4 linked regions of the Drosophila melanogaster genome follow. The protein of the gene in region 4 interacts with the protein of the main gene of each other region in a pairwise test. Each region holds a gene or a part of one and is shown on either strand. Other genes may lie near its edges.

The links.
Region 1: the proteins of CG11404 (region 4) and CG1275 interact in a two-hybrid assay, tested with the Drosophila melanogaster proteins (one large-scale study listed by BioGRID).
Region 2: the proteins of CG11404 (region 4) and Bsg interact in a two-hybrid assay, tested with the Drosophila melanogaster proteins (one large-scale study listed by BioGRID).
Region 3: the proteins of CG11404 (region 4) and Desi interact in a two-hybrid assay, tested with the Drosophila melanogaster proteins (one large-scale study listed by BioGRID).

Annotation. Positions count from the first base shown.
Region 1 is NT_037436.4:2,249,106-2,259,012, reverse strand, and holds CG1275 (uncharacterized protein), read left to right. Parts: upstream 1-1,589; 5' UTR 1,590-1,901; intron 1,902-2,200; exon of another isoform or gene 2,201-2,391; coding exon of another isoform or gene 2,392-2,407; intron 2,408-3,002; exon of another isoform or gene 3,003-3,190; 5' UTR 3,191-3,200; coding exon 3,201-3,474; intron 3,475-5,026; coding exon 5,027-5,236; intron 5,237-5,320; coding exon 5,321-5,684; intron 5,685-5,741; coding exon 5,742-5,916; 3' UTR 5,917-6,269; downstream 6,270-9,907. Other genes in the region: Elp5 (elongator complex protein 5), read right to left, coding at 340-433, 496-1,141, 1,211-1,259; CG32305 (uncharacterized protein), read right to left, coding at 6,284-6,765, 6,817-7,017, 7,074-7,483, 7,534-7,802, 7,856-7,945, 7,998-8,244, 8,303-9,238, 9,290-9,423 and 2 more.
Region 2 is NT_033779.5:8,084,679-8,092,692, reverse strand, and holds the start of Bsg (basigin), read right to left. Parts: upstream 4,390-8,014; 5' UTR 4,177-4,389; intron 4,084-4,176; exon of another isoform or gene 3,988-4,083; intron 3,591-3,987; exon of another isoform or gene 3,300-3,590; 5' UTR 3,030-3,299; coding exon 2,957-3,029; intron 1-2,956.
Region 3 is NT_033777.3:10,776,843-10,783,377, reverse strand, and holds Desi (desiccate), read right to left. Parts: upstream 3,810-6,535; 5' UTR 3,687-3,809; coding exon 3,592-3,686; intron 3,541-3,591; coding exon 3,405-3,540; intron 3,330-3,404; coding exon 3,176-3,329; intron 3,118-3,175; coding exon 2,931-3,117; intron 2,863-2,930; coding exon 2,649-2,862; 3' UTR 2,553-2,648; downstream 1-2,552. Other genes in the region: mRpL37 (mitochondrial ribosomal protein L37), read left to right, coding at 12-292, 348-769; CG42633 (uncharacterized protein), read left to right, coding at 1,111-1,244, 1,315-1,470, 1,524-1,690, 1,745-2,412; CG45078 (uncharacterized protein), read left to right, coding at 6,127-6,201; fau, read left to right, coding at 6,127-6,201; CG45076 (uncharacterized protein), read left to right, coding at 6,127-6,201.
Region 4 is NT_037436.4:22,545,148-22,551,733, reverse strand, and holds CG11404 (uncharacterized protein), read right to left. Parts: upstream 3,298-6,586; 5' UTR 3,275-3,297; coding exon 3,190-3,274; intron 3,143-3,189; coding exon 2,982-3,142; intron 2,929-2,981; coding exon 2,605-2,928; 3' UTR 2,392-2,604; downstream 1-2,391. Other genes in the region: Trxr2 (thioredoxin reductase 2), read right to left, coding at 1-1,413.

The sequences.
Region 1 (9,907 bases), about 20 Mb from region 4:
GGTAATCGAGAGTTAACTGTACATAAGGTTAGCTAGATGAAATTCCTTAACTAAGTCATAAGCTAGGGCACCACCAGATAGCAATTGAATCAGTTGTATGTATTCACAAGTTTCTTCGATTTTTTGATTCACATATCAAGTTATCCAAAATAAATGAGCAATTCTACGTGTACTAAGTGGTCGTTCAAAGATTCATTCTGCTCCTCTGGCGAGGTTGAACACACCCCTAGGCGGAACTTTGGGGCCGGAATTCCAGGTATTTTATGGTTTTAGTAGGTTAGACTTAAGGAGACTTAAAGCCAAGGCTATTTGTACTGCCGTTCGCTGCTGGCGGGCAGCCTAGATGCACAGATCCTCGTCCGGATCCTCCTCGTCGAAATCGTCGTCGGCATCGGGCGTGTATATTATGTTTCCCTCAGACGGCTCGGATGTGCTATCATATATACGAACATATCAATAAGGAGATGTAACGCATAGAGAATGGTTACCACTCACCGTTCGTATGGCAGGGTGAGTGCATTGCGGGCCAACACTTCATCCTCGTCAAGCTCGATTTTGAAGGTGCTGCTGGCCGGCTCTGTGGTCTGCTCCGCCTCGGGCGAGGGCTGCTTGGGGGAGGCACCTGCAGGCAGTCCTCCGTCCAGCGGCGTCACCTTGAACTGGGTTTTGCTGACTTCGCAGGAGTAGCGCCTGTTGGACACCCCTCCGCCCGGCTTGCGTGATATCAGCGAGAGTAGTTTGTCCGATTCCAGTCGGAGGACCAGCTCGGCCAGGTACTCGCAGCCAGCCAGGATGTAGTCGGCATGCGGATCCTGCAGGTGCTGCGGGGAGGCCCAAAGGAAAACCCGACGCACATTGTCCGAGCGGCGTAGGCGGTTGAGGAAGCCAAATATGAAAGCAGGCGTCTGGTAGCACAGCAGGTCTGCCAATGTTGGCAGGATGACGTTAAAGCCAGTGGAGTTGGAATCCGTAGTACTCCCAGTGTTGTTGTTGGCGTACTTGTCGATCAGTGCCTCGAAGGTGGCCACGTGCTTAAGGCTGACGCCGGTGGGCAGGGCCTTGATGGTATCCGCCCCCTGTCCCTGCTCGTGCAGCAGACTGCCGATGAACTTGGGGGCAATGCGCTCCCGATTTAGCTCATCTGTGGATGAGGCGGGAGATTGGTGGTCGCATTATTTGGCAGACGATGGGGTAGTCAGTGTGTACTCACCTATTACGAGGACCACTTTCTGCTTGGTCACCACCAGGTTGGAGAGCATTTTGTTAGCATTTATTGTGGGACTACCTAAATATTATTTTAAATTGAAGCTTTTTGTTGGAGCTGCCAGTGCTGCCGAGCTAAAGGCGTTAGCGTGTTTCAGTCGTGCTCAATGGGCCACACTGGCGGCATAAGGGAATCCAGGGTCTCGAAGTAAATGTTTTCCAAGCTCTAGTTAAATATGAATATAAAGTTTGTAAATTTTTAAAATTAAAACTCACACAGTCAGTACTTTCTATCATCATGTGAACGTATATTAAATGCACACTATTTTTTCAGCACACGCAGCTACAGTATGATTCTCGCATCCCTGGTTGTCCCGCTTTTTTCCAAATGAGTAAACAGAAAATCGAAGCGGTTAACAGATCGAGTTACAGTTTAAAACCCTTTGATAGTGAAAGTTTGACCGTGTCCTTGACTTGCTGTACTAAATTAAGTATCAATGAATGTGCCGCTTTAAGTTTAACTTGTTAATAATAATGCTGACGTAGTAAATTCGCACAGCATTCCGCTCTCTTATGCTGCCAAATTATCTCTTTGTGTTTGTGCCGTTTCTGTTTGTGTTCTTGCCTCTTCCGTTGAAGACATTTTGGAAATATTCCAAACAAAACACATTATTGGATTACTGATTCATTTCAAATCTGTAAGTTTACCTGTTTCTATTTCAACTACGTCTTTAAATGTAGTTTACAAACAGTTATAATTTGGTTGTGGCTTTCCATTAATATAATATCCAACAAGTGGTTTTTCTACAGTGGTGTGAGCCCGAAAGTTTGTTTGCATGTGTGCTTCGGCGTTTACAGTTCTGAGCTTCCAACGAAAAGCTCGTGGAAATGCCAAATGAAATGGCCAAGTGCGGCAGAGTGGGCGGGGCTTTAGGGCTTTCACGCCCACGCAGCCTGTGCAGAATTTCCACGGCTTTTCCTCCATATGGAAGGCCCAGCTTCCTGCATTTTAAGCAGTTTGTTCAACAAGTAGAGTAAAGTGCGTGGCAGTAGCCACGAAAATCAGAAGTAATCGCGAAAAACCCATCGTCATCGCTTTAAAGTCACTAATTGCTGCTAAAGATAAGAGCAGGCGGTATTGAAACAGGCATTATCTGAGCAGAGTGAAGCATCAATCAAGTATACGCCATGTTGTTCTCACTGGGTGAGTTGAAGTGCACATACAGTCATTATTGCACAGCATGAACTTAAGCTCTTTAAGAGGGAAAGCTACTTGTTGTCCTTAAAGGTTTCACTTTACTGTAGATGTACTTTCGAAACTAAGAACAATATTGAAATAGTTGTTACTAACAAATTTTACCCAAAAACTTTTTGTAAACCCTTTTACGTTTTGGATTCCACTCCTTCTGGCAAAAAGTAGTTCCAATTGAAGCAGTTCCACTGCACCATCCCATTACTATGCACAGAACATCAAAGTCAAAGTCGCAATTGAAATGCCGCGCAGTGACAATGGTTTGAATAGATCCGAGGAATGCGAAATGCAAATAATCATCAATGCACCCCCTTCCCAACCAGAAGCGATCGACCTGGTCCGGCATACTAACCAGCATTCGTTGGCACCCAAAGCCAAAGGCAAAGTCAAAAGCAAACCCAACCCCACTGGAATCCTATCCGCATCGAGAACCAAACAATTATCCACACCGAAATGAGCAATATGTGTGTGCGATGTCGCATGCGAGAGATTTGCGAGCGGAAAAAGCTTTTCCTAACCATCGCCGGGCGGCGGCTGGAAAACTTTAAATTCAGTTGCGCATTGCACGCCGAAGTGTTCGGTTGTATTAACGGGGTGTCGTGCGGATTAGTTACTAGTAGTTAGTTACTAGCATTTACCAGTGTTTTTGTGCTGTGTCTTAGGGCAATTAACACCGTCCATTATACGTTGCATGTCTTTTTGTGGTTGAACCATTGGTGAATTATTGATTTAAAGTGCACAGACCATGTCGAAGGACGCGGACGTGGAGCAGGCGACCAAGCCGGAGAGCGGAGTTGTCCAGGTGGAGCCAGCGATTCCGGAGCAGCCACAGGCCGCCGTTCCGACCACCATCTCCACGGCGACCACAGTGATCGCGGTGACTAATGGGGAAAAGCCAGCGGCAGCGACACCAGCAACAACTGCAACACCTGCGACAGCAGAACAAGTGCAACCTGCAACAACCATCGCTGGCATTGAGTTGGCCACTCCAACGGCGGCGGCAACTTCACCACCAACAGGTAGACTGTGCATGGCATTGGATTTTGGCTGCAAGTTTGATTAGTGCCAAGTAAAATAAACCAACAAGCCGAGTGTTTAGTTATAGTAAAAGTTAAAGCAAAACGCACCGAAAGACAGACTGCAGCCGTCCCCTTTCCCCGCCGCGGTTTTCACCATCACCATCGGCATCACGATCCGCGATCAGCAAGCAGCCACTAGTAACCAGTAACCAGTAACCAGCTGAATTTCACTTTGGTTTTCCAGACTTTATTTATTTTGCTCCGCTGTCTTCGGACTTGTACGCTTTTCCAAATTCATCCAAAGTCATCTGCCCGGGTTTTACTTTCGGTCTTTTGGTGCGCCTATGTGGATTGTTTATTTCAAATTTTGCGCACGATCTGCTGCAACGCTTTGCTGGTCAGCGTCTTTGGCACGCCCACTTAACCCTAATAATTAACAGTCATAGTCACAGCTAATGTGCCAATTAATTTCACTCGGAACCCAGAGCTGCGTCGAAATGGAGCACTCCAACTGGAGCCCATTGAGTAACCGGGGACGCGTGGCTGCTGCCAGTTACCAGCATTTATAATTGCGATTGCCAGCTACAAGTGTCTCCGGCGCACTTATCAGCCAATTTACAAGCCAACACTTGGCAGTTTGGCTCATTTGCTTATTATTCGCCCGAGTCGAAATTAAAACACCATTTGCATACCAAACGCCAATTAGGGCGGCTGATAGCGGCCCTTATCGAGTGCATCTGCACCTACAAGTTTACTAGCCTTTTAAACTATCTTAGTCAAGTCCAATCTATACTATACCAAACTATGAACACGGCTACTTTCACTACCCGTACGTTCCGTAAAATGAATCGAACTTTAATTTATTTAATGTATCATGCTGCAACATCAAGCACGAGGAACTTGTACGATGCTATTTAAAGCGATTTAATATCAGATGTTCGGACTATCTGGAGAACATACTGATAAGGCGACAGATAAAGTGGGCAGAACGCTCTGGCGTTGAAAATTAATGTTGGGTAAACAAGCGCAAATGTTTACGCATGAATTAGCCAAATTACGCCTGGTGAGTGGCCGGCGAAAGGGGTCGTGGGTGTGTCCCAGTGCCTGGGAACAGGCCGTTCCCATTAACTCAGGGCCCAGTCGATATGATGAGATCTTGTTTATCGCAGTATCGGATGGCTGGCGGCAAAGGAACTGTTTGTTTACCCAACGAGTGCAGCTGCCATCGAAGCGGATCAGATGTACAACTGTTAAAGTGGGTTTTTGGGAAGCCTATTGGCTCCCTAAACTTCTGGTCGCATGTTATCAGCAAGTGCTTGGGGGTTATTTTAATCTGCGGGCAGGTGGAACATGTAATTGAATCATGTTTACGTAGCAGAGGCTATAAACCAAAAGTATGGAAAATATAAACGAGTGCTTGAGATCCCCTTCCCCTTTCGATGCCCCGATATCTCTACCCTTGAATGAGTTATGCGATTAGATCGCCAATGCGTGCTGTGCGTAAAATGGCCTCTATTTTTAGCTCATCCCCAGCTTTTATTGGATTTTTCAGGCAGCGGCAAGGCCAACATGGATCCAGCGCTGATCAACTTTAAGGTGCTCTATGTGCTCACCCAGCTGTGCGGCCTGACCATGATCGTCCTGGTGGCCACCTGGATTGGCCAGCACTTCGGCGGTCTGGCCGGCACCTCAAATCCCGGCGTGGAGTTCAACTGGCATCCGCTGTTCATGACCATTGGCTTCATTTACCTGTATGGCAACTGTGAGTAAATGCAGCGGAAGAGGTGCCACGCCACTCCCATTGACTAGCTTCGAAATGGTAATCCAACTCAATTCAATCCCACAGCCATTCTGATCTATCGTGGTTTCCGCACCACGCGCAAGAAGACTCTGAAGCTTACCCACGCCGGCATCCACATGGGTGCATTCATTCTGACGGTGATTGCCCTGAAGACGGTCTTCGATTCCCACAACTTGGCCAATCCGCCCATTCCCAACATGTACTCCCTGCACTCTTGGCTGGGGCTCTCCGCGGTGATCGTCTTCTCGCTGCAGTATGTGGCCGGATTTGTGGCCTTTTTGGCGCCGGGGTTGAGGGAGAACTACAGGATCGCCATGATGCCGCTGCACATCTACTTCGGACTCTTTGGATTCGTTCTGGCTATTGCTAGTGCCCTGATGGGCATAACCGAGAAGGCCATCTTCGCCATGTAGGTGTATATGCATTCTAGATCGATCACTTGACTAATCCATGACGACATTTCTAGCAAAACTCCGGCTTACTCCACTCTTCCACCGGCTGGTGTGTTGGCCAATGTGATTGGAGTAATGTACGTGGTCTTCGGGGCGCTGGTTGTCTACCTAGCCACTGAGCCCTCCTACAAGCGGAAGCCCATTCCCGAGGACACGGCTCTGCTGAACTCCAGTTCTGTCAACGAGTAAGGGCTATGCCCATGCCCCAAATCAACTGCAATGCTTACTTAAGCTAAAAACTGTGCACAAAACCAAACGAAACCGAACCTGATCACACGGATGGTGCTTTCTTAGTGATGGAGATGGAGATTCGTCAAGATGAGTGTATTATCTGTAGCATGTACATAACCTAACGACTATGTATGACTCTGAATTATGAACATACGTATACTTTGGTCACCAGTTGTGCAATGATTTCAGCGAGTGCTCAAATCATAACGTATTTAACCTCAAGAAAAACATTTGCTTTGAACTGTACGAATACATCTATATATGTGTGTTATATATGCTTAAATAAATATATATATATATATATATCTATTAAAATAAATTTAAATTAATGAAGGTTCCCGGCCAGAAAGATGCCTCCCTTTTGGCGCTCATGTATCGAGACCTCCAGTTCATCGCCTTCAGATACATTTTCCTCGAGCTCTCCTTCAGCCTCCTCTTCATCCGAAGTGGAAGACTTTGGGGGCACGAAGCTCGGGGTGAATGACAGTGAAAGAGTGTCGATGACCCAGCTTTTTGAGTCCTTCATACTCATGCTCACTTGGTCGTGATCTTGGAATGTGAGATCCGGGTCTACGACCACCAGGTAGGTGGGCACCTTGCCCACTCCCTTTACCTCCGTGTGCCCTCGGTAGTTGCAGCGGATGTTAAATTGTCGCAGCACCTTTGCCGTGTGCCGAGTTACTTGGATGTTGTCCAGCAATCCAGTGGAGGACATCCGGGAGGCCATATTGACGGTATGACCCCAGATATCATAGTGTGGTTTCGAGAGTCCAACAACGCCGGCCATCACGGATCCATGGGAGATGCCTTAGATATCATTGGATGGATTAGGATAACGGTGAAGGTAATGCAGCCCACCTATCTTCAAGCTCCCCGTTAAGAATGTATCGTACTCCGAGAACACGTAGTTGTACCGAATGTCGTGCATGATGCGAAGTAAGTCCAGGGCAAACTCGGTCATCACCAGGACGGCGACATCTTGCACTTGGGCGTAGGGCTGGCTGACATTATCGCCGCTCATCTCATCGTCCTCGGTACTTCCAAAATGGACAGTCAGAACTGAATAGATGTACCTTTTACAATTGTACTCTAATCTAGTCGTGGGAAATAGTCACCGCTGGATCCTCGTCTAATTTCGGAATCAGCTTCCGGTTGCTTGACCGGAATGTCGATGGAGAAGTCCGTGTAGTGGTCCGTTTCGAGGCCACAGGCCACCATATAGGTCCAACCCATTACCTTGATCTTTTCGATTTTGTACCTGGTCTGGTAGTCAACCAGGAGGTCGTCGAAGCAGCAAATGATCTCGTGCAGGATCCGTAGGCCCGCCGTGTCGGCGTTAAAGTTCTCGATGGAGGCGAACATCACGGCCACCTTGGAGAAGTTCTCGTAGTAGAGCTGGTCGTGGGGTCGTCGCACCTTGTACACCTGAGCCACGTGGGTGGGCAGGATGTTAGCCATAATGATCTTGATGGAGCGCAGCTTTTCATCAGTTTGCTGGTGGGCTTCCTCGTAGCAAACGCGCATGCTGAAAAGGGAATGAGGAACCGATATACACAAAGATCTACACACACTCACAAGTAGTTAAACTTCCGAAGGTAGTTAACGTGACGTTCCCGCAATACGAGAACAATGAAGAGAGCCACCAGATACCAGGTGTGGGCGTAGTCCGACTTAAGTCCCAGATCAGTGGTCTCCGATCTCTCAAAGGCGAACCCGTAGTATAAATGGACGGTGCCCAAGTGGAGTCCAAGGATGAGCAGGCCGGCGAGTATCTTTATCACCAGCGGACATCCCGGGACGACAAACAGAAGACTGATCACGATGACCACACAGTAAGTGACAGTCTAAAAGTAGGAGATGTTTTCTAGTTTTCAAAATTGTAGATAGTGAAACCAACCCATGGACCGAAGCACTCCGCATACGACTTCTCATTATAGAGATGGGCTTCGATAATACTCAGTTCCAGTTTCGCTACATCACAGGAAAACTGTAAAGGATATGCAGAGCATTGTTTTTGATCACAAATTATAAATACTCACCACTGCTTGAGAGGACATAACGTAGAGCAGGAGCAGTACCACCATGGTCAATGGAATCCTTACGAACAGAGAGTCCTCGATTCTTTCCGAGATCCTGAGAAGCCATCGACTCAGGAAACAAGAGGGCTGCGACATGGGCGTTAGTTTCTTCCACTGCAGCCGAAGCTTTTTGTATCCAGCCAGAATGCACAGGATCAGTAGTATGAGAAGAATTCCGAGCAAGACCAGAATATCAGGGTATGTAGCTCTGTGGATCAAGAGATAAAGTGCAGTACTTGGCAGATTAACTAGCAGAGTCGTCTTACTCTTCGATTAAGTTAATGCTCATTATGGCCAGTCCAGCACAAAGAACTAAGAGCATGGTGTACTTAATCATGAGGTCAGGCAGGTTATGAAATTCCCACTCCCTCTTCCAGCTGCGGAACACACCCAGCACAAGGTGGATCTGGTTGCTAAACAGGTACTCCTCATTGAAGTCCTGTTTCTTCATCGAACTGCTCCGTCTCCATTCTATGAAGCAGTGCCCTACCGCCATTTGATCCACCTCCTTCATTATCTCGCGCTGCGCCTTGATCTGGATCTCTTCGTAGTATCCTCCGTAGCTCAGGCGGCATGAGTTTATGGAGGCGCTGCTCAATTCGTCGTCCAGTTCGCCGGGCTCCACTGCATCAGGAAGTCGATTGCTGACCAGGAAGGTGCGGATCCCCGCTTGCTGCAGGATGGGATCATTTTTGGCTGCCTCGGTGCCCTCTCTGAATATATAGTGCTCGTCCAGCATGCTCAGCGTCCGTTGGGAAACGTGCACCAGTCCCGGCAGCCCGGATGACTCCAGCCGATTGGTGATGTCCACGTCCTTGGACCAGATGTCAAACTGCCATTTGGTGTGCCCAATGATTCCTGCAAACACCTCACCCGAGTGCACACCAATTCGAAGGTTAATGTCCAGCTCGCGCCGGCTACTCACACCCTGCGTGATATGGATCATCTCCAGCGCCTGGTCAACGCAGCAGGAAGCGTGGGCGGGAAAGTAGTTCGGGATGCCAGCCACACAGTTGTAGGAATCTCCCAAGAACTTGATCCGCATCGCTCGGTTGCGATTGGCAGCCAGGTCAAAGTTCACAAACAGGTCGTGCAGAATCTCTACCAGTTGCGGTGCCTCCAGAGTGGTGGTCAGATGCGTGTAGTTCACCATGTCTGCTACCAAAATGGAAACATTCGGGTAGGGTTCCAGGAACAGTTTTCTGCAATTAAAACTAACAGTAAATGCATTTTAGAACATCGCGCATACGCACCGTAAGCCCGCCTTAGAAGGAGTGAAGTTCTTATCCTGATCCTCAATTCGACTACAGATTTCCTCCTGCAATGTGCGTATCATTTTGCGTGGTAAAATTGACTCTAACAAGCCATTCTCCTTCTTCATTACCAACTGTGGATAAGAAAGATGAGATCTTATATACTAATCACTTGGAAATAATAAATCTGGATGGCGAACCTGATAGACAATATTTTGGTATACCAACTGGTAGCGGCTAAGTATTGCTCGTCTAAGGCCGTAGTCCCTGATTATAGTGAAAAATGAAAAGATCAGGTTGAGGGTAAAGAGGTATATAGCATAGGAGGCGAGTAGGTAAAAGGAAACTTGATCGTTCAGATACTGCATATAGAAAGCGTAGCCGATATAAATTATGGATACCACCATTCCCAGGACATATACTGAGCTTCCCTGGTAGAATGCGATGGGTAGAGTCATGTAGACACTGACCAGGACAACATGGTCGTAGCAAGGCACAGTGGGATACGCTGCACCACTATAGATGGTCCCCAGGAGGTCAGAAACGAGGTCTGCAAGGAAGAAATAGTTAGAAGTGGTAGGACTATGATGTACCAACCACTTCACCCATAGAGGTTAG
Region 2 (8,014 bases), on a different chromosome or scaffold from region 4:
TCAGCTTAATTAAACATTTTCTCTTATTAACATTGTAAGTCGCGGAACAAAAGTTTCTTTGTTAGATGATATTTCGCCTGTGATAACATTTTAAATGTTAGTTTAGTTTAGTTTATATTGATACAAATAGTATCATAGCATTTTAAGCATTTAAACCTTTTTTTTAGCCCACTTTACATCGGTTTCATTTTACGCTACTTGTTTGCTTTGGCTTCCTTTTGCTGGGTGAGCCGAAATTTAAATATTTGACATTTATTAATGTAATGAAAATGTCATTAAATAAACATGGCAAAATGAAACTGGTTAGCCAAATGTGCGCAGTCAACAGCCGAAATGAAAGCACTTGCCAAGACATTCCACCTGCTCGGATATTCCGCAAAACAAAAGAGAAATAAGGAGGAGTACATGGTACAGTGTACATACATATGTACATATGTATGTGACAAGACCTATGGAATATTCTCAGACTTGGGGGCAATATGGGATGGGGGGTTGGGTGGTGTGACCAGACCAGCATTATATTTTGGCTCTTCGCACATTCGTCCGCAGCATAAACACCTGGACAACACGTGGTTTTTTCGCCACTAGCTGAAAATGGCTTTGAAGTGGTGTGGGGCAAATTCAGCGGGGAGACAAAGGAATGCTTCTTCAAATTGGCTTTCTGGTTTTCGACCTGCCACCCCTACCCCCCCTTTCCAACAACAAGCAACCAAAGTGATTCATGTAGTGCCAACATATGTATGTACCACCCGACATTATCTCCCTGGAGGGATCGCTTTTCTTGTTTTTCCATGCCGGTTTTCCCTCGATGCGTGCCCGGTAATTTCTTTCTTTTATTTCGGCTGCTTATTTACGTAAACAATTTGAAAAATCATTGAATATTTAGTACGCTAACGAAATTGTGCAAAAAATACCAAATGGTCTAATAAAAACTAAGAGTAAGGTACAACAACACTTAACGATATGGGTTTGTTCTAAAATGGACAATAGTTTTGCATTTCGTTTTTAACCCATAATAAGCCGAAACTTTGTGTATCTATGAATAATTGAACAAATCAATCAGAGAACCTAATAAAGACACGAATAAAACCTTAAATTATTTACACACTGCCTTTTGAACGGAACGAATACCCCCAATCAACTATGAATAAATGCCAGCATATGAACAGCACGAAAAAAAAACTCAATTAATACACCTTGAATGTGAAAATAGCTGCATGGGGCTAAATAATGTACGAAACAAAACAAAACCAGCCAAACGTTCAGTTTAGCGAAAAAAAAAATCAAAATTCATGAACATACGTAGGTTTTGGTAGTGAGCCAGAGCCAGACGGACATTCAGATATTCAGACGGACGGACGGATAGATATGTAGATAGATGGATGTATGGAATAAAGTAGAATAGGTAAATGGATAGTATGCATAGAATAATAAATAGATGGAACCGCCCGCGCGGGCATCATAGACAAATCCCCAAGGAAGGTGGAAGGTGCGAGGCGGGGCTGCCCAGTTCCATATGTAAACAAAATGCAGGCCACCGTTGCCGGTTCGTATCGGGTACGTATCGGGCACGTATCGGTTAATCGGTAAATCGATTCGTTCTGGTCCGCTTCGCTTTGGGTCGGCTAAAGTTAATATAAACAAGCGGGGAAAACCAGAGACAGGCCGTAATTATTGGACCGCATGTAAAATAGTCTTCTTAAGGCTAAACAAAAATTCTTAAAGATAGCCCTCACTAGAACCGAAATGAACTTGATACTCTGCTTTTGCGTCTGCTTCTGCTTCTGCTCCTCTGCTTTTTTTTTCCGACATTCGCCGCTGTTCTCTTTCAGCAATTGTGTGGAAAATTGAAAATCAAATGAAATGCGGTCGCGCGAACAGTGGAAAAGCGACGGAAAACCTACGACGAAAACGGCAGGGGGAAAAAACATAAGCAACAATGTCAATATGGCAGCACTGCAATCCAATCCCAAGTCCATCCAACCGACCCAACAATATGAACTATAAAAGCAACACGAAAATATCGAAGTCCGCTTAACTAGAGGGCAAAACAGTAGAATGCAGCACAGAGACCTTGTCCAAAGTTGGAAAATGGATGGTGGGTGGCTCGTGGGTGGCTGGTGGGTGGATGGTGTCCCGTGCAATATGAAAAGAGAATACATAAAGCCGGGCAAAAAAGAAATGTGATTGTCCATTTTGTGGTTCTATTCAAAGACGAGAACGTGAACGAAATAAAAGTTTCATTTTTAAAAGCGCGGACTCAAATATATTAATATTTTCGAATATCGCTGGTAAAACCCATTTGTGTCTTGTGGCTAAAGGACCAGCAAAGTGCCCCTTTCTGAGATCCCCTAATTTGAAGAATTATCGATACATTTCTCCGATAACTTTACCATTGATTTAAGTCGCCTCGTATTAATACTGTTTGTTTCCATTATTGCGGCTAGGGTCTGGCTTTAGGGTGAACTTGGAAGGGGTAAAAGTCAGGTGGTGGGTGGACGAACACCCTCGCCCTTTGGTGGGTGCACTTTTGTTTTGGGTGGCGGGGCAATTAGGGGGCGTGGGATAAGGTTAGTGGGTGTTACAGTAAGCCACAAACAATCTGCTGTTTTTTATTTATTCCCTTCCTCCTCTTGCTCCACCTCTTTGTTTTGCTTTGTTCGGTTCGGTTGTGTTCTGTTTTGCAATTTCTGCTATCACAGCTGCAGTTTAACCATACTTTCCCCCATATACATATGTATGTATATTTTTTGTATTCCTTTATACTGGGCTGCTACGTACATAGGTGTGTTAATATTATATGTGTGTATGGGTGGGTGTGTGGTTGGGGCAGGGTGATTTTATGGGCGGGGTACAACTTATAGGTTAAAAGGGCCTTCTTTGTTTATCATTATGCTTATTGTAGGGGGTTCATTCTTTTAGATTTAGAGGGGTTTTTTCGGGGGGCTGTACTCACCAAGTGATTGAGCATAAATCGCTAAAAATATCGAGAGGAATGAAAGAGCGCTAGCCAAGAATTTTGCCTCCATCTTTGGTATTGATCCGTTGTTGTTGTTGGTTGTTGTTAATTATGCTGCCGATGTGTGGTTGTTGTTGTTGGCGGTGACTTGTTGTTGTTGTCGTTTTCGTTATTTCCTTGTCATTTGCATTTATTACAGATTTGTGAATTTACTCCGTTTAATGATTGATTAATTATTTGTGGCTGTTGGTTGGTTGGTTGTTGATGTTGTTGTTGGTTGTGGTGTTTCTTTTTCTTTGCTTTTCTTATTTTTTTTTTTTTGTACTTTAAGCTTAACTTACTAAATCATTATGGTAAATATTAATTTATAAATAGATCTTTAAATGTATACGTTATTAGGCTTAGTTATTTAATTTGATATTAGTTGATGCTGTTGATGTTGTTGGTTGGTTGTTTGCTTTGGATCTTCCGTTTGGTGTTTTGCTTGAGTGCGAATTTTTCTATTTTTTGGCTCTTCCAGCTTTCCTATTTTGTTCTTAATTCATGAAGCTATATTCGCAAATAAAAATATTTAAGAAAATTTCTCATTTTGCATTTATTTTCGTATGAAGGCAAACTTTTCGTGCGCTTCCCCGTATTCTTTTTGTTGTGTTTTTCGTTCGGTTTTATTTGTATGCTTTTTTCCAACAACAAAGGCAAAAGGAAAGACGAGTGAGAGAAAACTTTTTAAAATTATACATCAATATTCAAATTAAGAAGAGATTGTGGAGAGGAGCGGAATCAAGGATACAAAAACAAATCGAAAAGATCAAAATCAAAACGAAAGCCGAACGAACAACATTCAACATTCAGCTAAATGTATAATTTTTCAAATGTCACATTTAATTTTTTTTTGTTTTATTTTCACTGCAGCTAAGCACGTGCTGTTCACATAAGTGGGGCGGCGGGTGGTTGGGTTTTTCTTTTAGCCCGCTAATTTAACGTTAACTTTTGCAGTTCTTTTTTCACACGCACTCACACAAACGCACATCTAACTTTTCCCAGTCCAAAAGTTCTATTTTTTTGCTGGCTAAGCAGAAAAAAGAAATTATGGCACGTTGACGACGAAAATACTATTTTTCTGGCTAGCCAACGAGCAAAAGAGAGGGAGATAGAGTGAAAGCAAGAGAAAGAGAGTGAGGGATTCTTGAGACTGAGAGCAAATAATTATGTTTTACACAAGGAGCGCAACAATTTCTAGCTGCTTTTTAGCCAATGGCCATTGTTGTTGCTGCACGTACTTGTACTAGTGTAGTTGTTGTTTCTGTTTGGCTGTTCTTGCACAACGGGAACACAAAAAGCAAACGAAATTTGGCAAACGGACGGGCCAAAACGAGGCAAACAGAACAGAGCGAACAGAGCGAACGCGGCGAATTCAGCGAGCAGACTGAATCGCACACATGACCAACGGACGAGAGTAGCCGCCTTCGCTGCGGCAGCGACGTCGACGCACAGTGATTTGGGTTCAGTTTGACATACACTTGTCAGCTTATCTAAATAGTTCGGCCGTTATCTTGACCAGACCGATTACGAGTACTGTACAAAATGGCGAAAAATAAATCGAGTTTAAACGACATTTTTTCATTATACAGGAATCTTTAGGAATTTGAAATCACCTGTTTTATTTAAAACAAAATGCAGAAGCTAGGTCTGACTTCAAGCTACTAAATTAGCTAGAAACTTAAAAAAAATTTTAAAACCATAAATTGAGTTATTAATCAATATTTGCTCTTGGAAACCTTATCTTACAGTTCAATAGGAATTTCCCAAATTGACGGAATTACAATGTACTTGTGCTCGTATGGGCCTGAAAGTACGCTACTTTTATTCACTTTTCTCTCAGCCTATAGAAGCACTTAAGGAACAGTATCAAACAAATTGCAATCGAGCAATGATTCAACAAAAATCACCAAGTGACAGAGTCTGCGAGTAATTACGACCAATTATTTGACGATCGAAGAAAAATAGCATTCCATTTGCTTCACCGCATGACGTCCGCATAAAAGCTGATAACAATTGGCCCGAGATCTATTATTACTTCTAGAATTTCGTATTGCGGATGTGTCGAGAAAACAACTATTCCCACTCTTATCAATGCGGGAGGACAGTCACCGAGTAAGCAGAATAGATAAGAAAAAAAAAAGGGTAGAAGCTATCACCAGAGCTGGCCGATTTCATTATCCATGAACATTAGCTTTAAAATTCCTCAACTGACGAAAGGCATCAATGTTTGAAAAACAGCTAAAATAATAAACCTTACATAAGAATTAAAATTCTTACTCGTTTCTATTTCCCCCCAAAATAAAAGCCATAAAACACGTAAACATTTTTGAAAGCAATTGTGTTATACAAGGAAACAGCTCAAAAAAAACTAGTCAAAATAAATTCTCAAACTTTTGGCAATAAAACCGTCGAACGGACAACGCTAAATCATAGTGCGCTGGATTTTTTGTTTACCGCCAGACGACGTGCGGCCCTCAGCAGAGCAGATAGAACGCCAGTTGAAATGTTTCCGTAACGTGTCACGAATCCGACTCTCATTCTATCGCATTAAGATAAAGCCCCAATGCAGTACTTTGAACAAATACGGGACTCCGTCCGTCCGTCCGTATCACCAACACCAATACTACCGCAACCAAAAACCACACCAACGTCTTGGCCACATGATATAATACCGTAGCCGGAGCATGGTCGACAACGACGTCAGATGTCCGCGGCCCAGTCGCCGAGTCCCAAAGACCCAGACCACCAGACCGTCCAAACTGACCGCCTCTGGTCCATTGCCGTCCCGCTCGCACTGCCGCTCTGGTTTCGGGCGGTTCTATGCGGTTCGCACACGAATGTAGATCTCCATCTTTTCGGAAGGCAGGGAACTTTGCTAATTCGGCATGGGTGTTGGAAAGGTAGGGGTTTTTTGCGGGTTGGCGGCATCGAGGGGGGTTGTCTCGTCGCATTTATTATTGGTCAGCCGTATTTATTTTTACAAATTTGCGAGAGCAAATATGAAATCAGCTGTTCGCATTGCCCGCTGAGATTAAAGCGATCAGGGGGGTATATAGTATTTGATGAGGTGTTTCCAACAACCAAACCATAGAGAACATTTTGCAATGCTTGCAATGAGTTCATAAATAATAAAGAAGCAAGAAGAGTCATAGGACTTGTAGTTGACAATAGAAGTACTAATAATTGACAAATTTTCCAAAGTTCTTGCCAGTTGATAAAGCGAAAAATCTATTACTCATAATTGACGTGTTCGCACAAAATAAAACTGTCGACAGATAATGTGATTGATGAAATATTTAATATACTATGTACTGCATTGGCCACTATGCCTTTATAACTAATAATCTTGAAATTTAGAGATTATAGTGAAATTTATCAAAAAACGACCACATGGTTCATGGCGTTTACGTGTTAGACTTTCAATTTAGGTATTATTATTATTCCATTAAATTTAATTACCATAACCACCTAATTTATTCTCACTGATGATAATTTTCCATTAGCTTAAACTAAAATCAAATTAATGGCAAAATATATAGCAATTTAGCTTTCCAATGTGATAGCTAGAGCACGCAAACGAGTTCATCTTCATCGATATCGTATCGTTTCAAATTAATTAGAACTCAAATCAGATTTATCACGGAGTGAGAGCATCCTACACAAACTAGTTTTCAAAGCCGCATTTTGGTGGACAAAGGGGGAGGCTTGGGGGTGCGGGCGGCGGTGTTGTGCGGCATGTTATCGATTTGGAGGAGAAACAAAAAACATTGCTATCGATTTGCTGCTGGCCTCGAGGTCAATCGAATGCTAAATGCCATGGTAGTCGTGTTCGGGCATTGGTGCCAAACTTTTGTTCCTTCTTTCGCGTTTTATTGGCAAACTTTGAGCATAAACACTTTGGAGACAAATTGCCCTAGCCGCAAGTTAGGCAGCGGACTATAATAGAGTAGAAAAGAGCAGCAGCATAACGTCATCGTCAGCCATGACTCAGTTTATTTGCTCTCTCGTACGCTCGCTCAAGACCCACACACACCAACGCACACTCCGACATTCAAGCGGCACACACAAACGATGCTGTTCTAAGCCGAGGCCAAAAATCGAACCTCGGATGACCGATAAAAAATGAAATAATAAGCGGGCATTGGGAGAGGGGTGTCAATTTAATTGCCTTAATTAAAAGGCTTAGAAAAACAAGACTGAGTTCCATCATCATCGCAATCGAATTCATGCGTTCCTCTTTATTTCGCCAACAGGGTTTACTTAGATGTGTGTATCTCGGTGTTGTCATCAATGCTGTGTACAGTGAAGCCGTCTTCAAATCGAAATAGATAGAAAACGGTTACAATCCGGGTTGTGATTTGAATCATCTAAAAACTACAGGCAAACTTCTTGAGTAAAAACCTTTGGCACACGAGGAATTATTTCTGAATTTCTCGAAGGTAAAGTTTTCAACACAGAACCATTAACTTTAAAAGCCAGCAAACCCCAAAAGATGACCAATGCAATATATAATTCCTTGCTTTGTTTGCTTTTTTTTTAGCCCAAAAAACACAATTTGGTTTCCATTTAAGGACAAAGTGCGTGTAATCCGCAAAGTATGCTATAAGAACGAATGTTTAAGATGTCCCAATAAGACTAGTGTTTGAAATCCAGCATTTCTTTAAAGTATCCTACCATAAACGGATTGCAACCCACTGTGCCCGCGATCGCCGAGGTATGCAATGGAATTTGATATGGCCAACAGCTCTGGGGTAACCACAATAAAGAACGAGTTTATCTATTCTGAGCCGCTGTTCATTAGCCGAGAGCCCTCACTGTATCGATGTTGATGTTGGTGTGTCATGGCAGGCTGGATGACGTGATTGTCTCCTCTCCTCTTCGCTGCTCTGCTCTTCTCTTCCCCTTCCACGCTCTCCCACTCTCTTGCTCGATGGCTTTTCTCCTTTCTCTGCGCCCGCATATGATTAAAACGGCAAAACAAGATAAAACTCGTTGGAGCAAAGGAGCTGCTGC
Region 3 (6,535 bases), on a different chromosome or scaffold from region 4:
TATCTCCTCAGCCGACTGTTGGTAAACAAACTCCTGCATGAAAGTGAAAAACTGGCTGGCCGTTCAGTCTCTGTTCGAAGGAAGCTGATAGACAACGCGTCTTTTAAGACTTTTTTAAGCAAAGACGGGGATCTGCTAGGATTCTCAATCAATGCTGAAAAAGTGGTATTTGCCAACCGAGCCATCGAAGGTGTTAAGGGAAAATTCGAAGGAGATCTGCCTGATCTTTACCCCATGAAGAGTACTATATCGATTCCGAAGTACCACATTTACCAAGCTAAGAACTTGTATCGTAAGTTGTTTAATAAGTACTACCCGATGCATGACTAACAATGTTATTCATTTAGCTTTGCGCTCGGACATCACCTGCTCCCACCCGCACACCATCTTTACGGTGTTTAACAAACACCAAGTCAAAAACTCCCACGGATCCGAGGTCACAACTTCTCAGCTTCAGGCGAGGACACTGGTCAAAGCTTTCGTTGTGGCAGCCGCTCGAGCAAAGCAACTGCATGGGGATTCCGTAGGAGCTCTTCCCAAACCAATTGTTGTGCAGAGCGTCCAGACTGACGGTAGGACGTTCCACTTCGGAGTGTTGCAGCTGAATACCCTCGATCTTGGTGCCAATAGCACTGCCAAGAACTATTGGTTCCATAGGCAAAACTACAATCTGTTTGCTGAATGCTCTTATGAAGGAGGGCGAACGCATTTGGATAATTACAATGGCGAGGTCTTCCGCATATTTAATGCTTTCTATAACAATTCCTAAAATAGAAATCTTACTGAATAATAAAATATGTTTTTGTTATGTCTGTATATTATTTTATTATTATGTATTGCCTCTTGCCTCCTTCTTTACTTAAAATAGCTAGAGTGTCAACACCGGGTGATTTAACAAGGTGTGAATGCCTGAATTATTTGGCGCCTTGTTATTCCCTTTCATCCACAGGTCGATATCCAAGCCCCATCCCCAACTATTTCAGTCGACGCCATAGCAACCAGGATGCACTGAATTGTTTATGCATCGATGTATTGACTGCTAATAGAGACGTCAAGCAGTTTTCTCCACCCACACACATTTAAAGTTTTAAAAGGCAAAAACTCGCTACCATGAGTAGGCAAAAGCAGAGTACCAGCTCCAACAACAGTGGCACATCATCGGAAACCAGCGAGACGCAAAGTGTGGATGACCAGCAAGGTACTCCGCATTCAGCCATTCGTTCGAGTAGTGCATCATTGAGTAGGTGGGTAATAGGGTTTAACTTATAAAATACCTTACACATTATTTTAACAAATAAAATACCTCCTCTTTAGAGCCAAAAACAGTTGGAGACGCATGAAGGAGCTGGCTGCGGAGAAGGAAAAGGAAAATGAAGCCAAGCGACCTCCTTGGCGGGCAGTTAGCGTTTCCACGCTCACCAAGCCCGATAAGAGCGCCTTGCTTCGGGCCAAGTTACTGGATGCCTCAAGGTCTTTAAGCCAAATCATACAATTTAAATAGTACTTAGTGTTTTTCCATACAGACGACTAAGAGCTGGCAAGGCTAATGTGGCCTTGCAGACGGACTTTGTGCCGACGAAGCTCATGAAGGAAGTCAGTTTCGGGGTACAGAAGGATCTTATTCTACTCAAGGACGTAGGTATTCTCACTGATGGACAGTACTCCAAAAAGAAGGATGGCTATGAGAAGTGTAAGTTTTCAGTTAGATATTTGGTTTAGTTAAATGTAACCCAAATACTTGCAGATGTTCTTACCTATTCCATGTCCCAAATGACCGATAGTGTGCCTACCGTTTCGCGACAAACTCAGACGCTACTGCCGAAGGCCTATAACAAGGACCTGGTCAACTCCTATCTACCCAAATCCGATGAGGATGACAGTGATGGCATCTCCGATGTGGAGAAGAGACTTGGTGATCAGATAGCCAAGATACGGAGGCTCAACTTTGATGAATCGAATCTGTCGAGGGGAAGTGGGAGTAACTCTATATTGGCTCCTACTCTAGCATCCTGGCATTTCGATGACGATGCCGTGGAAATGGAATCTGAGCGGCATTTTATACCCTATACCATCGAATCGTTTAAGCCTTGGCGCAGCTTCGTTCCCTTTCCCTTTCGATTGAGGGGTAATGCTCTGATTGGTACGCAGAAAATAGATTGGTACGCCCTGCTGCAGTCCATCGATGACCTGATCAAAGAGTCCAACCACTTGGTAGACAAACTGGAACACATCATGATTGAGAATCAAGCGCATCGCAGGTCGGTTTTGGGAAAACTAGGTAAAATACCCACCTTTCAACCGACCAAGTTTATAGCCCCATCGGAGCAGTGGTTGCCCCTCATTGAACAGCAGGAAAAGCAATTGCAAATTATTTTAAGCGGCAATGAGGCTAAGAATGCCTCCCCAGAATAGACGTACTCAAAAATCACAAATGCTTACAAAATATTGGATCTATGGTTAAAACTTCTTACCAAAGAAATTATATGGTAAATGGCCTAAGGCATTGTTAATTGTTTTGGAAAAGCTTATAAACGCACAGAAACTAGTTGAATAAAGATAACACAATGGAGTTTATTTATATGTTGGGAAAATATTTGGTTGTATGCAAATGGAGAACAATTTTTTAAAATTTCATAGAACAACATTAACTAAACCTTCTTTTCTCGGGAAATTCCAGATGATTTTCCTTTTCCTTGTGGGTTTTTCTTTGGCATCAGCTTCATTAGAATATCCGTAGCTGATTTACTGTCCAGCGGACAATTGGAGTACACCTCTTCACAGGCTCGATCATTGGCTCGCTTTCCATGCTCCAATGCCTCCTTAATAGCCGTTCCATCGAGGAGGTAATCCACCAGGGCATTTCTGGAAACAAGTAAGTCAAAAGCAAATATTGTGTGCTAAGTACCTTGGAGTTAAAAGCCTCTACTCACTCCGCTAGCATATGAATAAATTCGTCCATCTGGTCTGAGGAACCGATCTTCATATTATACTCCGTAGAGCGAACATAACCGCACACAGCACGTTGCATGCAACTCGTCGAGTCAATATTATTCTGGCCCAGAACATCGTCAATCTTATTGATCATGCTGCTCAGTGGTGTTAGGTCACTGTCCTCGCCTAAAAATGACCGAAAATTAACTTTATTTTTGAATTTCCATAAAAGCATTTCACTCACTGCGGCCGTAGCCTCCATAACCACCATGGAAGGCGGATAGAATCTTAGGAATCAGTATAATGGCACCTATGCCCACAAGAGTTCCTAAGACAACGCCACCCAGGTCCAGTTTTATGGGATTGTAGGCGGATAGTCCAGTACCGCCAGGATAACCCTAGACAATTTAAGTTCACAGATCAATGTTAGTAGTTTAGCCCACGGTTTGGAGGTTCTGATGTAGTTTACGCACATTTAGGGATCCGTAGCCAGTGGTATAGCCCAGTCGTTCCAGTCTATCCTTCGTGGAAGCTGTCTGCGGTTCACTAGGCTGGGTCTTGTTTTCATTAAAGTACGACCTATCCCGCTGCGCCTTATCCGCATAGAACCTGAAGCCATTCCAAATGAGTATCGTATATGGGGTACTAGAATTGACTTACTTATGGCTATCTTCGTATTTGGGGATTGCACTGGCGTAGGTCAGCACAACCAACACTCCCAGCAGCTGCAGTATGACAATGTAATTTCGGTTCATTGTGCTCTTTTAAGAGGGTATCCTTTTGGGTTTCTTTTTTTTTTTTTGTAAATTAGTAATAGTCCTTTGGGGTTTTTGGCTCGTGGCTCCAACGTGTCGTTCGCTCTGCTCCAAACTAATATTTCCAGCAGCAGCAACTCCACTATTTATAGGAGTTGCCTAAAAATGCAAGCAATTTGTTCAAATTACAAAATGTCAAGCAGCGTGCGGATTTGAATGCCGTTTATGCGAGTATTTGGGAAAAAGTGAGGAAAGAAACGCATTCTAGCAAAACGAATGAACAGGTGTTTGTAACCATATAGGCACTTATGTCCCCATACAAGCACAGTAAACAACCCCCCCCCAATGAAAGACCATTCATCGTACTTATGTCGCTGTAATGCGCAATTTTCATTGCATACTCAATTATTTAACAAAATTATCGCAGACACAAAAAAAAAAGTGGCGAAGACGCCAACAAACAACCACGCTGGCTGGGCGGATAAATTGAGCAGCCATGCATCTGAAACCAAAAGTCGTATATCTATGTACTCCAATGGATCAAAATCGCGACTTGGGAACGGAGACACATGGAAGTGTTTGCACCTGCGCCACTTGCATCATTATGAGGGGCATCCGACCAAGAGATTTCTGGTATTAAGTCACTGACATCTTGCCGCTCGTTTTATATCGTATATATATTCAAACGGGCCTAAATATATGGGCTCTTACATTGATATTTATAAGCTAAACGTATATTGCTGAATAAATTTTTGTAAGTTATCGTAATATTAAACATTAAATAAGCATATCAAGAAATATTAATACTAAATTCGTTTGAATAAGGTCTTTTACATTCATATTTTTTAGATGCATAGTTTCAAAAATAATCTCTTAAAGATCTTACAGATCTAAAGATTCAACATCGTCAGGGTCGCCAGACAATGACCTCCATATATCACCTCATATTAAAATAATGAATGAATTATGTCAGACACGAATACTTTTATGGACAATTAGTAAACCTTTTCAAGTTGCAGACCTAAAGTAATACCTCTTTATAGATTTATGAAAATCAACATGTTGCAGAAATGTTGTGCCACCTTTTTCATTTAATCAAAGAAGATTTGTTCGCTATATTGAATCCTTTTCGCCAATTTATTTTCTGCTAATTTTTCAATGTCTATTAACACCTAATTAATACAAAGCAAACACTAAATTCCAAGTCAGTGCTCAATGACATTTTTGTTCGCCGATTAGGCTGACTTCGGCAGCCTTGAAATTACGAATCATTCATTGCCTCTCGTTAAGGTTAATGTCATAAAGAATTTGGTTTTTTTGAATTTCTGCCATGGTTTTGTTTATATACAAGCAAACACCTACACACCCGATTTAAAATGTGGGTATAGGATGATGTGCAGTTTATTTATATGTTCACGAATACATGTTTCCGATCTTATTGTAAGATGGTATGAGTAATCTGGCCTCAAACTGTTGGAAAACAACATTTATTTTTATCTTATTTTCATTTTTGTATTTTCTTAATAATTTATATCCAGCTATTTGTGTGGAAAGCTCTGTGTCCGGTCCACAGGTGATACCCACTGACCATAAATTGCTCTCAGGATTTTAATTTCACGCCTTATTTGTTTCAAAAAATGCCAAGCTCATTCATATCAGTTTTGGCTAATCAATCTTTAAACAACGGTGATGCTTTGAATGCTGATATTTTGAATGATGGGAATACGAATTAAGCTATAAACATTATTAATGTCTACATGTAATCATACTGCTAAATGCCAATTAAATGTAAAAATATTGAAATTACCATAATCAATAATTGCTCATTATATTGAGAAATTCTTGTGGCAGATTTATAAATAAATAATCCGCCGAATGTTTTGATGTTTATCGACCCATATTTAGCCTATGCCAAATATTAGCCTTTCCTCCATCTTCAGATGCCATCATCATCAATTCGAGTCATATCCCATGCTAAATACAGATTCTAATCTTATCTATAAAGTTCTGGAAGAAATCCGTGACGTCTGTTTTCGCAGATAAGGGCTCTATATCCTGGGAGCACTAGACTCGGTACATTTCATGTGTATATAGGCTTTTCCGAACGCAACTGTATGAAAAGTGCTGGCTTTATGTAAACAGAATTCGCTCGCTCTTTTGCGAGGAGAGATGTCAATGTTTCTTAATTCCAAAAATAAGTTCATTTGGGAGATGGATAGAGAAAGAGGTATGGACCGAACGTGCGAGAGAGAGCGGGATCGAAGGCTGTGAAAATTTTGAAAATCAAAAAATTATAAGCAAGTGCTCCGTGCGATTCTCAGGCAGATCAACTCGAACGGGCGTCAAGTGAACAACACGCAACGACGATATATCCGAACCAAAATCCAACGAACAATTCTATTTGAAAACTCTCAAAGCATCCAAATCTAAAAATCTCAACATGGTTTACGAAAGTGGATTTACGACCCGCAGAACCTACTCCTCGAGGCCGGTGACAACTTCCTACGCAGTTACGGTAAGCCCTTCGAAATAGAATCTGAACTTTACTTGACATACGGTAGTGTGGTTTTCCTCGATTTAAATCTGTGAAATATATCTGTGCGTACAGTTGCCAAACTCGAAACTTAAGCAGTTCAAGAATAAACTAACCTGTGATTGCAAAAAACGCTGAGGATAAATTTGACAAATTTGAAAGCAGTTAACTATTTGCTGTTAGCACTTAGCTAATGGCTAATCGAATCTGTAGTCACAAGAATTCAGTTTTAAGCGCTTGTGTCCCACTTGCTGTACTCAATGGTATCATTCTGAGAAGCGAGCAGATTACTTGAGAAATTGAAACACGTTTGAAT
Region 4 (6,586 bases):
TGCGGCGAAGCCCTGGATGACCTCGCCGGCGACTGGGCCGATGTAGTGCAGGCCAAGGATCTTCTGGTCCCCGGACACTTCGGCTACGGCCTTGAGGTAGCAGTGACGCACGCTCTTCTGGGGAATAAAGAACTCTGTGGGCTTGTAGTAGCCGTGGAAGACCTCGATGTTGTCAGCACCACGCAGTTCGATGGCCGTTTCCTCCGACATGCCGACGCAACTGTATTCTAGCGGAGTAAAAACTGTGGTTGCCACGTCGGCATAGTCCATCAGCTGCGTGGAGCCGGCGAACAGACGCCTGGCAAGCAGGCGGCCCGACAGGATGGCCACCGGCGTTAGCTCTGGTCGACCATATATGATGTCCCCAACTGCAAATATATGAGGCACGCTGGTGGCCTCCGCGGCGTCTACCACAATCTTGTCGTCATGAGTCTTCACTCCGGCGGCGTCCAGGTTGAGGTCCTCGATGAGACCTTTGCGCCCAATGGCCCACAGCACGGTGTCGAAAACGTCGCTGCCGTCCATTTGGGTGGTTGTGTTGCGGTACCGAACTAGCAGCCGTCCGTCCGCCTGCCTCTCCACGGCCTTGGGGATTGTGGTGCCCAGGAAGGGAATGCCGCGCTCAGTCATCATGGCGGCCAGCAGCTCGGACATCTGGCGATCGAAGCCGCGCAGCACAATGGAGCGCACCATGACAGTGGGCTCGTAGCCGAGACCCTTAAGGAAACAGGCGCACTCGAGACCCACGTATCCGGCGCCCACCACAAGGGTACGACCCGGCTCTCGCTCGTAGCTGAATATATCGTCGCTGGTGATGCCCAGTTCAACGGCTCCGGGAATGTCCGGGTAGCGTGGCCTCCCGCCGACGGCTACCACCACGTACTCTGAGGTCACTTGACGGTGCTCGGCACCTGGCATCGCCACATACTCGATGGTGTGGCTGTCGCGAAAGGTGGCCATCGAATTTACGTACTCCACCTTTTTGTCGCGCAGGTCCACGCGGGTCACCCAGTTGACGGACTTGATGTGGTTCTGGACGGAGCGCACCAACTTGCGCCAATCGGGCCGTATGTTCGTGTCGTCTACATTCCAGCCGTAGGCCACCGCCTCGTGAACAGCCTCGCCCAGCAGCGAGGCCTGGTGCATTAGCTTCTTGGGGATGCAGCCCACATTCACGCAGGTGCCGCCGATGCCCCACTTGGTGCCCACTGGAGTGGGCTTGACGTAGTCGAAGCAGAGCACGCGGGCTCCACAGCCAGCAGCCTCCTTGGCACACGCCAATCCCGCCGAGCCCCCGCCGAGCACCACAAGGTCGTAATCATAGCGTGGTCTTGAGGCAGCAAGGCGGCACCATCCGAGGCTGGACCGAAGTGCGTTGTGTGTGGAGGATCGCAGAAACTTTATCGTCGACATATTGGACTGATAAATTGGACGGGAACAAATTTCAGGTCGAAAAGAAGGTAAACCGGAATTTTAGGACTCGGCACTGCCAACTTGTGAAATTATTAGACAGCCCAAAAAGCCAGGATGTCACAAAAACCATGCGCTCACTTACCGTTTCCCTAAAGTTAATAATTGCTCCTAATAATATATATTTCAGGCTGTTTAAGACAATAAAAATACCTTGGCTCAGATATCGTGATTTTGCTGACATTTCTTGCTATGAGGTTAAGTTGACCCCCATTTACGGTATTAGGCACATCCTGCCAAATCCCTCCGAATATGAAACGGAATCAATATTCCCTTCAAGTGGAGGGAGCTGGCTTTTAGCATAGATTAAGATGAAATAGAGATGACGATATTTCGTTTCGGAGCTCTGATATGCTCCGCTCTCTGGGGGGGAACTAGTTCAAGGGAAAAGGGGAACCTATAAAGGACACACAGGGATCCATATTTTCGACTCCAGGGCGATTGTCCCAGTAGTTCCTTGGGAAAAACGACGGATATCTATGCAAATTCCTCGACCACCAAAAAACACTTTCTTCCCCAAGAATTGGCCAAACCTTTGGCATATACATACAAATCCAGTGAAATGGTGAAATGTCAGTTTCAATGATTTATGCTTCTTGGCCATGGACCATTTGGAATTTTTGGCAGGCCGTTGGCAGTCAGTTTCCTGCCCTGCATCCCATCCCCAATTTAATGGCGCTCTGGTCTGCTGCCTGCCCAATCTCAATCCAATCCGGGGCATGTCCATGCCTTTCTAATTTCTAATCTAATATTTTTGCCTACAAATGCCGGACGACGGTCGGGTGAGGCAAGAGAAATTCTTTGCCTCGGATGCTTGGCCATGTCCAATGCCTGCTCTGGATATGATTTACTTTTGCGGTTTGTTTTTGGTGCGTTTAACCGCAAATATTTAATGGTTTTATTTCCCGATGCTCGACCGGCCCTCAGCTGCGATTCATTTGTACATGTCCTGGTCTGCGGTAGTGTGCTGGTGTGTGCGTGCGGGGTATCTGTGTGTCTGGTGTTTTCTGGCATATTTATTAGTTGAACCACCGACCCAGTGTATTTGTAGATGCGGCAAGGTTAAGCCCCTGACTGATGGTGACCCACTTAAAGGCGGCTGAACCTGTGCTCCGTCGTTTAGTGTCTGATTTTTTAGATCTTAATGGTCTGGGCCATTGCCATTCGTTCCTGAATTTCCTCTGCGGGATGTGGCTGCTGCTCTGGGAGAGCCTCGGACTGGATCCGAGGTTTGGGATCTCCGTCGATCTGCATCTGATACATAACGGTTGCTATAATCAGACTAAAGTGCAGCATGGTCAACAGGAATCCGAAAAGGACAAGAGAAGCGTAGTAGCTCCAGCATAGGTCGCTCCACCACAAGTGCCACACCATCTTCAGGTGGAAAGCAGCCAGACACTGGTGAAGGTAGCAGTTCCACATGAGAACAATCGCCACCAGCAAGGAGATGTGATAGATCTGGTTGTGAATTCGGTACATTAATGTGGTCCCCGAGTTATGTGGTCTTTTACCTGAAAAAATGCGGGGAGAAGCAGTAAGATGTTTACATATAGGTTAAAGTCCCACATGCTTTCCCCGAACTCCACTCCATAATTGGTTTCCGGTTGTAACGGAGCGAACATCTGGCCGATAATAGGAATATTCTGCCAAAGACTTGTCTGGGCTGTAGAAACTAAAAAGACTTCAGTGATTAGGAGATGGTCCTTACAAAGAACTTACCATTTATGATTCGATTGATTTCCATGCTTATGTAACCTACAAGTACGTTGTACACAAGCAAGTTTAGAGCAGGCATAAAAATCATGTTGCGGCTGTAAAAAATATACAATAGTTATATAAGACTTTGAAGGGTAGATCCCTTACTACTTTACTATATTGCTGACTAAAAAATATCGTTTTCTCTAGCTAGAACTTCCAAATATTGTAACTATACCCGTTACTCGCAGAGTAGATGTGTTGATCTCTTTTCACATTTTTATTAGTCTTGTAAATTTATATCGATTTCTATCGCCCATTCTTACACACTTAGACCGCATAAAACTGCCACGCCCAAATTATAGAAAATTTTTTCGATATTTTTTCATAATGTTTTAGTCTTGTAAATTTTTATCGATTTGCTAAAAACGCCGCTAAGCCGGCCACGCCCACACTTTTAAGCAATTTTTAAATTTTTTATCATTTTTTTCCCAATTATCTATCGATATCTCAGAAAAATTATAAAATTTTGCGTTCGCAATCACACTAGCTGATTAACGGGTATCTGATAGTCGGGGAACTCGACTATAGCATTCTCTCTTGTTTTCATATATTTTTCTTCACTTGCAGGTAAGTGGCACCTATCCCCAGAAGGGTGAGTACCGTTTATTCGCCTTATCTCGGCGACTAGGGAGATTTTAAATAAAGAAATTAATATCAGAAAATTCTCCAACAATGAAACTTTGCCATGGAAACGCGGAAAAACTCTCGGAATTGATGCGATAAAAGTTTAATTCCAAGTATGGCTGCCCACCACTCCTCTTCGACAACTTCGTAGGCCTAATGTGCTGACAATCGTTGGATTCCAGACCACTCAGACCTCAGACTCCCCCCTAGTATAATTTAAACTTTAAAATGACCGGGGACGATCCTAGGCAACAACAGAAAAGGCAGAATGCAATCGGGGGGTTGGAAATGTACGACGTAAACTTCTACAAAAGTTGTAAAAAATGAAAAAGTTCGCCAATAAACATTAGAAAAACTTTTGCGCCTCATCTGACCTTACCATTTTGTGATTTGAATCGCTCTACATGCCCACAAAATCAGTAGGCATATTGCGAATCCCTTTCTGCGATGGCACCTGCCTAGCGACAAGTTTATCAAATGTTTTCAAACTCAGCCAAATTAAGCCCAATCCCGAAATATCATCTAAAGTTATCATTATGCTTCTTCTGTCTGTCGCCAGGCAAATGACGAGGGCCACTTAAGGTTTGAGAAGGTCTGGAGCGATTTTGGCCGAGCCGTCATGGTAATAAGACAAACTGGTAAAAAAAACATCAAATATTAATTAAGTTTGCGCCTAATTAGTTTGATTCAGATCCAAAATGCTGCCTTTTCTCCTTTGCCCAGGGTTAGACATCAAAAAGGTGTTGGCTTTGGAACTCAGGCTCAATTTTGGCAAAAACGCCAATGAATTACACTCGCCTGAGATGGTTACAATTGCTCAATTAAAGTCTAATTACAGAGGAACCATGGAGCAAGGCGGACGAATCGGGTCAAAAGTTAAACAATGTGGCAAACAAAATATTTGACAAAACGGGAACGGCCAAAGCCAGAACTGGTGCGAAGGATGTCTAAGTGAGTTAACAAAAGGCAACATTTGTTCAAAAATTCTAACAATACCGAAAAAGCGTCTAGAGAACCCATGGTTTATTTACGTTTATTTGTCGAAATATTTGCGGATGGCAAACTTTTTGCAGCAATTATTTAATTTGTTGCCAATGCGAGGCATAATGTGTTCAATTCTTTTTCGATTTACCCTGTTGTGTCCGCCTTAAAAGCTGAGGAAAATGTTTCAATCCATGCTCAAATATTTAATTTCGTTTATTGAAGTATTTGCTCTTTGGTTTGGGCAACAAACAGTTTCTGAGGTGGTTGACTGTTAGAGGGCATTTTTGGAAACAGCAGCCCCACACACACGTGCCTTGGCATAAGCAACTTCTTCACCAACATTCGTTTTCAACGCAAGTCTTTTCATTCTAGTTTGCCTGTTTGTTTGTTAGCTGGCCCACTTGAAACGAGAATTTTATTAATTAATTTGAAACCGTTTCTATTGACGAGGATTCCGGAATTAGCTTCCCAGCCAGAAGGATTTTAGCTCGGCCTTGGATTAGTTTGCACAGGCAATGTGTTTTAAGTGTACATTTGTTGGGGTAGCATTTGCGGAATGGGATTCTCTAATTGATTTCGCTACGGTCACTGAAAACTGCTTGTTTGGGAAAGCCCAAATAGATTTTCGTCTTTTACATGTATTAATTAGAATTTTAAATCCATAGCTAATCTCAGAATAAACTATACCTATTTTCGCCTAAAACTGTTATTGATATTCAAATACAAATTTTTGTGCTGCCTTACGCTCTCAGGCAATAAAAGTGGGCTATAAAAAATTCCGATAAATTCATAAACCTAAATCCACAAAATTGTTTAGACATTTTCATAAAGTCGCTTTTACGATCCTTTTGTTGAGTTTCCTTCCCCTATGTTCGACTCCTCGCCAAATATAGAATAAACGACTTGAAAATGTTTTTAATTGCAGACGGATATTTTGGACAGATTACATAACTAGCATTCGAGAGCTCGCCTAGGCTCATAAAAGCCAACGCCCACACACAAATTGTTTGTTAGTGGGGGGGTATCATCTTCATAATGGCACATAAACCGCTTGGTATCCTGCATATATTTTCCGGTTATGTGGCCAGAAACAGCTACACCAGCCGCAATTAAAACCGAAGCTAGCTCAGCAAAATGCTGTGCGTAGATATTACCCTCCAGGACCCCGCCGCAGTGCCGTTCTCAAAATCAAGTGTACGACATGATAGCCACACTTTTTGTGTGTGTGGCATTGGTGAATCTGTTAAAGTGCGAGTTACAACACTTCCTGCTGGGCTTCCAGTGCGGCTTTCTTTTACGAGCACAGCACTCGACCGAAAAACACTCTCACACTTTGGACGCCAGTAAGGTGGAAGTGGAGCTGTGTGTTCACACTTGTAGTTGATTCGAAAAGAGCTTTCTATCGAGTTATTACCTTTTAAACTAAATATATCTCGAATTTCCTACAAATGAGTCTAATTGACTGCAGTTGACCAGTATTGTGCTAAGTTAATTCATCGTAGCTGACCTAACCACTGTCGCATGGGCAGTGAAAAGATGGGCTCCTTGTTGATACAGATCACTAGGTTATCATCACCAAATGTATCTCAGGGCCACACACACAACGAGCATCAAACACGTATCACGTATGTAACTTTAATGTACAGGTTGAAGAATCCGTTTCCGAACATTTAATATAGATTATGCAATCAATTATTTATAGATATGAGTATAGGACCAGGATCACTAGCCATGTCGTACATATGAGCTT